Xenopus tropicalis: one gene and its partners. The protein of the gene in region 3 interacts with the protein of the main gene of each other region in a pairwise test. Links are inferred from orthologs where the notes say so. Each region holds a gene or a part of one and is shown on either strand. Other genes may lie near its edges.

Region 1 (4,365 bases), on a different chromosome or scaffold from region 3:
ACATTTTTCACAACTATATAGTCCAGCGGTTGTCAACCTGTGGGTCGGGACCCCTTTGGGGGTCGAATAACCCTTTTTACAGGGGTCGCCTAAGAAATAACACATATTTCCGATGGTCTTAGGAATAATTTTATGGTTGGGGGTCACCACAACATGAGGAACTGTATTAAAGGAGAAGGTAAGCCTAAGTCACTTGGGGGTGCCAAAATGTTAGGCACCCCCAAGTGACTAATCGCTTACCTTCTACCCCGGGCTGGTGCCCGTTAAGAGAACAGCACCAGCCCAGGGTAGCTGCAAGCGCTTCCTTCTTCCACGCTTGCGCATTAGAGTGAAAAGCCGAACTTTAACAACAAAGTCAGCTTATCGCTCTACTGCGCATGCGCCGGCCCAGGGATTTTGCCGCAGAAGAAGGAAGCGCTCGCTACAGGTACCCCGGGCTGGTGCAGTTTTCTCCTAACAGGGGCACCAGCCCGGGGTACAAGGTAAGCGATTAATGTCCCCAAGTGACTTAGCCTTTCCTTCTTTAAAGGGTCGTGGCATTAGGAAGGTTGAGAACCATTGATATAGTAAAACCAACAGGGCACTCAGCAGTCTGTGTCCATTTCTCTATTGCATATGTGTGTATATATACATGTACTTGTATAGAGAAATAGCCTGTTTAGAAGGTATTGGGCCTAGAAAATATCACTGTAAAATAATTTTCTTATAATTGTAAAATAATAATACAAATTGCAAACTACCAATAGGCTCAATATCGTGGCACAGGGACAGGTTATTTATCCACACAAGTACTTTGTAGCCCATTGTTCCGCATAAAGCACCACAAAGCCTTATTAGCGGCTAATTCCAGCCTGTCCCCCTGTGACATGTTTATTTCGCATCCGCAGTTGCCATATATAGGGCACGTGTGGCCTGAATGACCGAAGTAGACGCGTTATATAACTGTGCAGCCGCTGAGCTACTTATAGCCGCCAGCAGGCGGCCGCGACCCTCGCAAGAAGATTAGTCAGTGTCTGGGACACGGGGGGATTAGCCGCCAATGGCGGATTAGCTGTAACTGCGGCGGACACTGACCGAACTCTCGGTCTCAAACACCCAGAAGGGCACTTTTTTTGACAACTTGCGGGAAAATAAACCAACCCCAGTCAGCCCTGTTGCCCACAATCCCCTGCGGTTGCGCGCTCACTTTTCCTCGTAACACCAAGCCGCTAGTCAACGTGACTATCCGGGTACTTGCGAGGGGCGGCCAATCTAAGGCAGAGCTCCTCCCCTATAGCTAAGGGGGCGGGGATTCGGTCACCGGCAAGTCTGCACAAATCCAGCGGAGGGTACGCGCAATAATCGGTTTTGTGTACCCGCTTACACGGGGAGCAGCAGTGCCGGTGGAAACGCCGTACGAATCCGGGTGAAGAAGGTTATATAACTACTGCGACGCGCCCAGAACGCATTCCCTCAGCGAGCACACTGCAGAAACGTGAGCTGTGATGAGACACTTGACGTTGTGGAACCAATGAGCTAGCGGAGTGTAGGAGTGGGGCGTGGCCTGAGGGATGTGTGGTGTGGTGTGGTCTGAGGCTCTATACGCACTTGGCTGAGGGAGCCGGATACGGTGGCAGGGTTTTGGGAAGGCTAACTTCTCGGTCGGTCTTTACTCCCTTTCGGAACTGCGTGGAACTGATCTACTCCTTCCCTGTACTCGCACCATGTTACAAACGTCCCTGCGGTCTTCCCATTTATTCTCACTATCTCTCCGGTGCATCCCTTCCCCACAGGGGCGCAGAGGCTGAAACAACAATTAGTGATTGCCCCCCCGTGTCTACTTTCCCCACCCCTACCCAAATTCCTGTAACATTATGACCCTGGTCTGGACTTGATCTTCATTTGAATTATTTGGTGTGGGTTTATCATTTTTTTCCCCTGATTGGAATTTTTACATTTTTTATTTTGCTGGGGTATCTGGAAAGATGGGGGTGAATGCTGTGCACTGGTTTCGGAAGGGCTTGAGACTCCATGACAACCCAGCTCTGCGGGAATGTATCCAAGGGGCTGATACTATCAGATGTGTCTATATCCTCGATCCCTGGTTTGCTGGATCTTCCAATGTGGGAATCAACAGGTGGAGGTAAGAGTGCCCGGATGGAAGTTGGTGGTTCTGTTTGTCCGTATTGGGTCAACTATCTGGGGTCAGACCCGGAATAGCAGGGCTACAATAAAATCATCCCATTCATTGTTGCTGAATTTAGCTAATAGTGATTCCTCTGGCCAAACTGAATCAAGTCATGCAACTTTAAAAACTAGAACTAAAGAGACACATTTTCCTATGTAATTTTATAGTATGGTCTGCCAAGTTTTTGTGGGAAATTCTGTAGTCATCTGAGTCCAAAAATGATGGCTTAGATGCACCCCTCCTCATTAATATGGCAATGGGAGCACCAAATATTAAGGGGAAATAAAGTGTATGTAGTCTACCACTTGTTCAGGGCTAGCTGTTTTTTTCAGGGCTAGCCGATTTTTTAGGCTAATGGGCAAGTGCTTTTTTAAGTGCCTTCTCTGTAGCTTATAGTAAACAGGGTCAATGACACTTGTCTAGGTCAGTCATTGATGTTACAAAACAACTATATGGCGGCTGTAATGGGGTTCTTCTATGTCCAGTTGGCCCCCAAGAGTTCCCTGTGATGACTTGTGGACGTTATTACAGTAGTCTAAAGGGCAAGTCTGGTGATGTTAAGTTGACCCTGGCTTGTTAGACTTTGGAAGGTATTTATGTGGTACCCAGAGTCTATAGAAAGATATGCAGTGTTCAAGAGGCTCTGCTGAAGGACTATAACCTTCATAATTATTACAATATGGCAAAATAGCACATTTACGTAATGTCTAACACCAATGTCATGTTGGGAACTGTTGCCTCAACTAGAGATACTGCTGTATCAATTCTGCTGCCTTCTAAACACGTGTATGGAAAGTATGTATTTTAGTTGGCTTGGTGCCTTAAGTTGGCTTCGTTCTTCCTTGTTTCATGTAAGCTGGCATAACATTTTCTGGTAATGGTTGTTGGTTGGCTGAAAGGAACTGGGCTCAAATAATTACATCTTTAGAAATATGCAATGTATTGTGGGGCTCATCAGGTCCCCAGACTGGGAGTCAAAATTGGCCCTGTCATTTAAAGTACACAGGCCCATACAGCACCCGTCATCAGCCCACTGAATAGTGACTGTCTATGGCATCTTATAGCAGCCCCTCTGGAATCTGCCAGAATCCACAGATTGACAGTCTGGGCCTGGCACTCATTCACAAGTGTTGAGGAATGTTGGTGGATACAGGGGGTATCATTAAGAACATGGTTCTTATTGGGTAAATATGAAATGGGACCTTAAGCTGGGCACAAGGTCAGTATAGCTGCCAACACAACTCCACACTAAGTTGGCAGCTTACTGGCTTGTGTATGGGTCCTCCTGATGACCTGCTCATTTTAAAAATCCCATTGAGCAAGTTCCTCTCCAGTGTTGGTGCTGCAGTCCTCTCCTAACAGGTCTCCTGTGGCTCCCATTATGAGCCAGTCATTTAAATCTTGTAATATGATATGGCCCAGCACTTTGGTGTCCAAATCAGGTAATGGCGACCTTGCCAGAAGAGTGGATCTTACTGTGTATGTCTAGCTTAACACTACCTCTAGGGTAGCGGTGTTCATTACATTGTGGTTTTGTGGAAACCAAGAATGCTGTCTTATTGTCTTACTTGATAAAAAAGGCTGTATTATGCCTTTTTTATTGAGCATTTACTGTAGAGCATATAGACAAATGTAAACGATTATTGTTTTGCCTGATGCACATAGATGGTATCGCAGGAGAAAATTTGCAGGCAGATGGTGTGTTTGGCCTTAAAAACACACAAATGTTGTTTCTGTGCTAAATAACTGCATATTCTTATCAGATTGCATATCCCTATGTTACCCATCATAATTCTCTATTTCTAATAAATGTGTGCATGCTTGCTTCCCCTATACAGAATCAGGCAGCTCTTTTACTATATCCATTGACGCATTGCATGACGTGCTATGTACTAAAGGCCATTCATTGTGGGAGGCTTTTGTAGGAATCCAGCAGATGCCAAGGGGGCCTTCATACATTGATCTATTTCATACATTAGTGCCATTATTGCCCTTGCTTGGAGCTTATGTAAAGGTTGAATGTACAGCAGTCTTTGTAATATATTTATTATGTTTATTTAAATAAATTATTATTATAGATGTATTTTTATGGTGGCACACATTCAGTATCTGAGACAATGAGGTGCAACAAGACCTTGGTGACTATGGAAGTTCAGGGTACAGCCGGAAGCCTGTACAATAAGGGAGAACAGACAGCT
Region 2 (4,321 bases), on a different chromosome or scaffold from region 3:
GAATACAAAATATTGCTATTATACCAAAATAAGTCAGTGTGACACCACAGGGCTCACTTTGTGACTAATAATGCATCTGTTGGTGAGAACACAACATGTAGTTATATGGACACAAATATATTTACAGTCCTGGGATAGTTTGACATTTTTAGAGACACACACAATATCCTCTTTACATTATAAACCAAGTGCATAATGGTCCCCATTTACCATAATGTGTAAAACGATAAAAAAACGGTGTGTGGTTTATTTTACTCCATCCGAACGACATGCCAAATTACGCCATTATTATTGATTCCATTATTTCACACCTTGTGTTATCAGTCAATGGGAAAAATGTAAGCGTCAAGTAAGGTCTTGCAGAAGTTGTTGTGGCAAAAAAAAAAATCTCCCCCCAAAGAGACATATTTTACCATATCAAGTGGGTGCTTAGGTTTTTGGATTATTATACAGAGCTACACGGTCACTAAAAATCGATACACAACTTGATAAATTACATAATTTTTTACACGCGACATCTGGTTTATTTGTTCGCCTTCACACAGTATGATAAATAGGCCCTGTCGTGTCATATACCACAATATGGTGAAGTGGGAAGTACAATGCTAAACGATACAGGGTTCTACACATGTAAATGATGTATGGGTTCCCCCACAGACAAACCCACTTGTCTCTAGAAGAACAATTACCTACCTATATTATAGACTACCCTGGGCTGCAGAATTGTTCAGCCTACTGCTGAAGCCTTTCTAACCAAAATGTCAAAATAATTTCTCTCTATTATTGGCCTGCTCTTAACAGCCCAATCCCAACACTATCTTTATATGATGCAGCTAGTTCCCTAGGGGGCTACAGTAGATAGGTTCACATTGGGTGACCTGATGAACTGCAGAGCCCCAGCCAGTCCTGATATATACCACAAACATCTCAATATTTTACTGATTTGCATTTGTAGATGGAAGGCTTTTAAGGAAGGAAAAACACATTTGGCGTCTAGAATCCCTGGGAACTCCCAGTGACAGAGCCTAAACCCAATGTTTCGGCTACAGTATCAAGGTTTAAGCCGGGAATTACATTGCCCACAAAAATTATATTTTAAGAAATCGTATGGGTTTAAAAGGACACAAACATGTCAGATTATAATACCAGGCATGCACCAAATACCAGAATCGGTAGTTGGAATCCCAGACATTTTTAGCAGGATTCGGCCAAACCGGATCCACACCATATGTATTGAAAAAAAAGTGGTCACACACTACATCAGCATTTTTTCCCTCATTTACTGCAATTTCCTTTTCTATGTTCAGTTCAGTATTCAGCTGAATCCATACACAAGGAATATGTATAATTTGCAATACTCATTGCCGAGTCCAATCTGCTTGTCTATAATCGGAAGAATGGGTTGTTTTTATGGACAAGCAGCCACACACATGATCATGCACAGTGCTAGGCCTATAAAGGTCTCTGCCATTGGTGCCATTGTATGCAATGATGAATTGCACTTTATAATATAGCAATCTGACAGACAAATCTGGGTATGGATGATGCCAGGAAAAAACTACATGTCTATATGTATATCATGCATATGTAAAGTATAGCATAAGGCTGTTTTTCATGGTTTGGCGTAGGGCCCCAGCTCCAGTGACAGCAAACTTGAATTATACAGCATACAATAACAATTCTATTCATCCTACTTGGTGGGTTAAGGCCCTCGTCCTGTAACAGCAATGTAATACCCCCGTGCACAAAGCGAGGTCCATAAAAAATGTTTTTCCTGAGATGAGGATGAAACTTGACTGGCCTGCACCTCAACCCAATTAGATATGGTGGGGGGACTGGGAACACCAAGACCAGTGCCACTAATGCTCTTATGGTTAAATGAAAGCAAATACAGTCTCCAATATTCCTCTGTACTTTAGTTAAAAGCCCTCCTAAAAACAGCCTGGTGAAGATGCCCTTTAAAAGAATCTTATTGTAAGATGCAAGGATCTAGAATTGGAGATGGGAAAGGCTGGACTGTATCTCCATAGTAATGAGGTAGTACACTCTGCCACTAAATATATCACTATCAGCTCTATTGTAAAGACAAAACACTAGAGTAAAACATGTAATCTCTTACTGGGCCTGTCTAATAACCCCATAAGGTTCTAACCCACCATCTTTCCTGCACATAGTAGACACAAATCCTTATAAAAAGAAAGGTACCATTTTAGTGTGTCATTTCCATCAACCCCCCCCCCCCCCTCTCCTCCCCCAGACTATATGCCAGCTGCCTACCACAGCCCCCAGGTCTAATACAGTATATTGGGGCCAGGATTACACCCCAGCTGGCAGAAACCCCGTTGTTCTACTGTATGCCTTTACATTGTGGGGCGGCAAGCTTAGTCTCTCCCATAGCTCTCAGCTGAGACTGTAGCATTGCTTAGTCTCTCCCATAGCTCTCAGCTGAGACTGTACCATTGCTTAGTCTCTCCCATAGCTCTCAGCTGAGACTGTACCATTGCTTAGTCTCTCCCATAGCTCTCAGAAGAGACTGTACCATTTCGTAAGGGGAAGGGGTAAAGAGCCAAGGTTCATGTTAAACAGTCCTACACTTATAAATTATCTTCTTACCCAAATATATGTCACCGAATGAGCCGCTGCCGATCTTTCGACCCAACCGATACCTGTTTCCGACTCTCAACTCCATCCTGCCGTGCAGGCCCTTTCCTCCTTCCCCAGCTATCAGTCTCTAAAGCCCGGGGCACTTTTCACCATCAATTTACGTTTTCCATCCACTACTAGGGAGCATAAAATAGTGCCGGTACGATAGATCAAAGAGCGCTCTCTGTGTTCCTTTCACTTCCGCGCTCCCGGGAAGCCTTAAAACGTAGGATTTAGGCGGATTATACCGAGTACTTAGGCCGATTCCAACAAACAAACCTGAGAGAGGCTGTCACCGAAACTCGTGACGTCACTCTACCTAGCAACAAACTAGCGGCGCTGGGAAGGAGGAGCGTAATGGGGGTCACGGAATCACATGATCAGCTGATGAACTCGATTTTCGCAGTCATTTAATTTAATGGTCTAGGTTAGGTTTTCTTACATACAAACTTGAGAGAGAAAAAAGGGTCAGTACAACAGCAAACGTTATTAAAAAAGAGAGGTTTTGATCAGTTACAAATCTCTGTTGTTGCAGGCATACGTGACCCCGCAATTTGCCAAAGTCGCCTTGAGAGGAAACTTTGGGCGACTTAGGCAAATCGCTGTGCCGCGTATGCCATCCCACCGGCGATTTACATTCTAGCCTGTGGGATGGCATTGCGGGGAGATTAATTGCCTGCGACAACAAAGATTTGACGCCCGGCGACTTATCTCCCAGTGTGTCACTGCCCTTAATGTTAATTTTAAAACAAACGCTTAATCACTGGTTGTACACTGAGCACAAAATTTAAGAAAATATCCAGTTTTAAAAATTGCTTTCTTTTTCATTGTTATATAAAAGATATTAAAGGGAAAGTATACCTTTGCTAAAAATTAGCATAATGAATAGAACTTGTGTTAAAAATAGATTCTGCCTGCCTATAATAATTTCCCATTTTTGCCATTCTAATGTACTCATTTAAATTTTTTTTTTTTTTTTCACTGATTGCCATTATAACATAGTAACATAGTAAGTTAGGTTGAAAAAAGACATACGTCCACCACATTCAACCATAATGCCTATACAGTATATAACCTGCCTAACTGCTAGTTGATCCAGAGGAAGGCAAAAAACCCCATCTGAAGCCTCTCTAATTTGCCTCAGAGGGGAAAAAATTCCTTCCTGACTCCAAGATGGCAATCGGACCAGTCCCTGGATCAACCAGTACTAAGAGCTATCTCCCATAACCCTGTATTCCCTCACTTGCTAAAAAGTCATCCAACCCCTTCTAAAAGCTATATAATGTATCAGCCAGTACTACTGGTTCAGGGAGGGATTTCCGCAACTTCACAGCTCTTACTGTAAAATACCTCTCCAAATATTTAACTAAAAACCCCCCTTCTTAACGGAGTGGGTTGCCCTTTGTTTTTGGAAAGTACACATTTACCTGAATTCAAAATAGGTCTTTCTATTCTAAAATACCAAGCCCCAAAGCTTCCATTTTGCAGCATCTTATTTTCTACAGGTAACCATATAAAACACCCTAAATATGGACCCCACAGGTCTACTGAACAGTTTGATGCCCACTGTGCATAGACTTATCAAAGCACATGGCACTTAGAGACCCCAAAGCTTTCCTACAATTAGCTTTTTTTATGACTTTTCGAAAACATTGTCACAGAATTGCTTACATACAAT
Region 3 (4,057 bases):
AAGGCAGGGGTGGCCAATACGTCAATCGCGGTCCACCAGTCAATCCCCCGAGGATTCCTGGTGGACCGTTATCAAGCCGGGGATGCGGAAGTGCTCCGTGATTGCATATGTACGCTGTGTCGTGTACATACGCACGCCTCACATCCGCATCGGTCCGGTCGATCGCGACTAGACCGAGTCTGGCCACCCCTGGTCTAAGGTTATCTGGTGGGCCCTTGGCACCCCAGTCTGACACTGCAGTTGTCAATAAATCTGCAGTTTACTGCCTTTCTGTTCAGGGTGGGACCTAGGTGTAGACAGGCAATGCATGTGCCTTGGGGGCAGTTGTTGAAGGGTGCAGCTTGAGTGAGAGGGAGTAAGCAAGCAAACAGGGATGGGGGAGCCAGCAGAAAGCTGTGGGGTACTGCATGGACCAAGTGGCAATAGGGGTGGGTTAGGCCAGTGAGGGGCATGTGGGGGCAGCAGTACCAAAGGCACCAGTAATGCTTGGCCTGGCGCTGCCCCACTCATACCAGCTACACCCCTCTCCTCCTCTCTTTTAAAATCCTGAGGGAAAGGAAAGGTGACAAGCCTAGCCCTGGCTGAAAAACTGTGTGCCATAGCCTAGCATTCATAATAATAGTTATTAGTCCACAGCCCCCAATTGGTTAACTGCAACAAGAGGTACAAATAGTATTTATTATTATGCTACATTTCTGGGGAGCTCTCCAGTTTCAAACTAAACAAAAATGTAATTTTAGGGTAAAAAATTATCCCATTAGCCGCAGTCAGCGATCTGTCAACCAAGGAGCAACTGTGCTGCACAGAATGGGCAGAGTTGGCGTTGCCTTCTGAAGAATGCTGGGACATGTAGTTCTGCTAACAGGATTAGCACGGCACAGGAACACACACTGCACAGACACAAACACACTGCACAAACACAAACAGACACACAAACACACTGCACAGACACAAACAGACGCACAAAAACGCACAGCGTTACAAGTTCTGCCACTCGTGAGTTTCCACGTGAATCTTATGCAATGAGCTCGGCCCCGCCTCCTTCCAATCAGGCTTCGCCTTTTTTGGAATGATAAGTGCTTTCACCAATCAAAGCGGACAGAAGGCGGAACCCCATGCAGAGGGCGGGGATGTATTGACCTGCTACCAATCATCGAGGAGAAAAGGTAGGACTTTTTGGGATGCAGCCAATTGGCTTTTCGCGGGGGCGGATCCATTGCTTTGCTCACGTTGAGATCTGTGTGAAGCCGAAGTAAAGCGAAGACTGGAGAATTGAATTATAACGTCACCGGCACTTTACCGAGGGGCCAGGGACCGGAAGTACCCAAGAATCAATTAAAAATTAGGAAGCTTTCTATAAACGAATCGTGTAGGGAACAGCTGTCAGCTGCACTAGGAATTGCTGCTATCGCGCATTAGGACATATCCCGGAATGCCGGCAGATTGGTGAGTGCTATAGTTCAGCCTGAGTCCCTAGTTTAACTATAACTTGCGCTACAGCGGCTCTCTGGGAGTGCTGGGAGTTATCGTTCTGCAACCCTGGCCCCTGCATGATATGAATGGATTCCTTCTCTTTATAAGGAATATTATATGTGAGTTCTTATGTATTTCTCTGTCCTGTCTCTGCATACAGTATAAGCTTATATATCTGTGCCTGTAGCTTGTATTCTGCATGCCATATACTGTTATGGTTATTGCATTGTGCAGTATTATTAATATGGGCTGGCTAGTCCAGCGTGAATTTGGCTTACTGCAAAATATGGAGTAAGTTCCTATTAGTATATTAGCTAATGTATTGGAATATAAAATACAATCTGAACAGCTTAGGTCAGTGCTTCAAGAGGTGTAATATTGTTACATTATACTTTGCCTGAAGCAGGCACATAACTTGAAAGCTAGCATTTTTTTATTCTACTAAATTAGTCAATAATAGGTATCACTTACACTAGGTTATCTGTTTTTGATCTATGGCTAACAGGGTACAGTACCCTCTACAACACCAAATTATGTTTACTGGATTGGTATTGTATTTGTGAGTTGTAGTTCAGCAACAGCTGTCGGGCTCCAGGTTGAGCTTCTCTCATTTATCTATATGCCGCTAGATGATCTGTAGCCTACCTTTACTGCCAGCCCCTGTCTTTCCAACACCAGCGTGGTGGCATCTCCATAAGTGCTTTAATAAGCGCATTTCGATTTCCAAAGATTCTTTAAATATGGAGCCATTTACACATTATATAGAGTAATAGAATCACATAGATTCATCTTTCTTTAATAAGAGTCCCCAAACCCTTGTTCGAGTTGGCACTCCGTATTCTTATTCAGGTTTTTTATGTGCCAGTGTTATTATAATGCATCTGCTAATGGTTATTATGTCTACTTTAATATAATGGATGCATAATACATACCGACCTATGTACTAATTATCTATTATATCTAGGGTTTTCTTATTTAGTTCAGCACCCTGACTATAGCAATGTGCAGCTCTCAGCCCCAGTGCTGTGGCACTTGTGAATGTCAGCGAATGACCTATTTAAGGCTGCACATTACACGCACGGCTCTAGGCTTGTGTAACACCACATCCATAGAGAAGCAGGGCATTCAGAAAAAACAAGGCAGAGTATTGGAGTACAGGCATAAAAGCGACTGCAGATAATATCTAGTTGGCCCTTTTTTCCCCCTTCTATAAAACCCTTATTGTATTCTTGTCTTCTGCTAACTGTATTCGTTCGTCTTGTTGAGTGGTGCTTCAGTCTTCCTGCAGTTGGGGATAAGTATTGCCATATTCCTGGAACTTTGTGATTTACTGGTAATACGTCTTTTTAAGCACAAAATTATATTTGTGGAGATCAGGTATGCATAAAGAAATTGCAAAGAATACATATTTTGCTTATGGATTGTATCAGGAGTAACCACCCTAGTGATTCAAGGAGGGTTTCTAGGCATTTTGACTCGCTATAGCAACAAGTTGGCTACCACTGGTCATTATCATGCGTTGCTAAGCTGTGGGAGATGAACGGATGGTGGTGCTCATGCTGTACTCAGAAAGTGCTTAGTTACTTGTACGTACACATACTCATTGCCTGTTAATTGTCAGTATGGGAATACTGCTCTCCTAATAGGCATTTAAATAACCACTAGTGCATGGTACCGGTAGTATAAGGTTGTTAAAGGGGTAAAGTGCAGAATAGGAATAATGTGAACTACAGATGATTTCTACATCTAAGAAATTACCAAGATGGAGATGGAGAAACTAGATTATGTGTTATTTGATGAAGAGTGTTTTATCTGTATCAAATTGTCCTGTTCTTTTCATGATGCATTCTGTATCTATATATATCTACCTACCTATCTATATGTAAACTCCATTTTAAGCAAATCTCATTTCCCTGTAAAAATAAAACAGTACCTTGTGCTTGATCCTAACTAAGATACTTAATTATTTTGGGAGGCAAAACAATCCTGTTGGGGTTGTTAAATGCTTTTAGTATACTTAAAGAATGGAGATCCAAATTATAGAAAGACCCCTTATGTGTAAAACCCCAGATACCGAGCATTCTGAATAACAGGTCCCATACCTATATATGCTTCACATGTGTAACGTGTTACTTGCCTTATCTGGACCAACAATACAATGTCCTGAACCTAACGGTGGTAAAACAAATGATTTTGTATTAATACATGGGTCACAGCTTGTTTTTGTGTGAATATCCTGAAGCTACTTAAAGGACTAATGTGGAGTGTCTCCATGATTACTGGAAAGAGATAGTTGTAGTTGTTATAGGATATAGGAGTTGAATGATTGGGGGTGGGGTATTGGAGATGCTGTATTGTGTATGCATTCACCTGTGTTGCTTGTCACTGTTAGAATAGTGTCCCATATTGGTGCTGTGAGGTGATGCAGATACACACAACTGATGTTCTGCTCATCAGCTTCTTGCATAGAGGCATGCGTGATATTCATGTGATCCTTGGACATATTGTAAAGATTTTTCTGGTGCCAAAACCATACTATTCACACTCTATCAAGATTTGTATATAAGATTTTCTTTAAAATATT

Evidence for each region. The genes of interacting proteins can lie anywhere in the genome.
Region 1: the proteins of per2 (region 3) and cry1 interact in a two-hybrid assay, tested with the Homo sapiens proteins (5 studies listed by BioGRID, with this or other methods). The link is inferred for Xenopus tropicalis from reciprocal best matches to the Homo sapiens genes PER2 and CRY1.
Region 2: the proteins of per2 (region 3) and csnk1d interact in binary tests that used the Homo sapiens proteins (3 or more experiments, as listed by UniProt). The link is inferred for Xenopus tropicalis from reciprocal best matches to the Homo sapiens genes PER2 and CSNK1D.

The regions. Positions count from the first base shown.
Region 1 is NC_030679.2:15,523,282-15,527,646, forward strand, and holds the start of cry1 (cryptochrome-1), read left to right. Parts: upstream 1-1,457; 5' UTR 1,458-1,964; coding exon 1,965-2,122; intron 2,123-4,365.
Region 2 is NC_030686.2:23,251,845-23,256,165, forward strand, and holds the start of csnk1d (casein kinase I), read right to left. Parts: upstream 2,909-4,321; 5' UTR 2,690-2,908; coding exon 2,614-2,689; intron 1-2,613. UniProt on the Homo sapiens protein: Essential serine/threonine-protein kinase that regulates diverse cellular growth and survival processes including Wnt signaling, DNA repair and circadian rhythms. It can phosphorylate a large number of proteins.
Region 3 is NC_030681.2:128,121,332-128,125,388, reverse strand, and holds the start of per2 (period circadian protein homolog 2), read left to right. Parts: upstream 1-1,217; 5' UTR 1,218-1,446; intron 1,447-1,497; exon of another isoform or gene 1,498-1,592; intron 1,593-4,057. UniProt on the Homo sapiens protein: Transcriptional repressor which forms a core component of the circadian clock.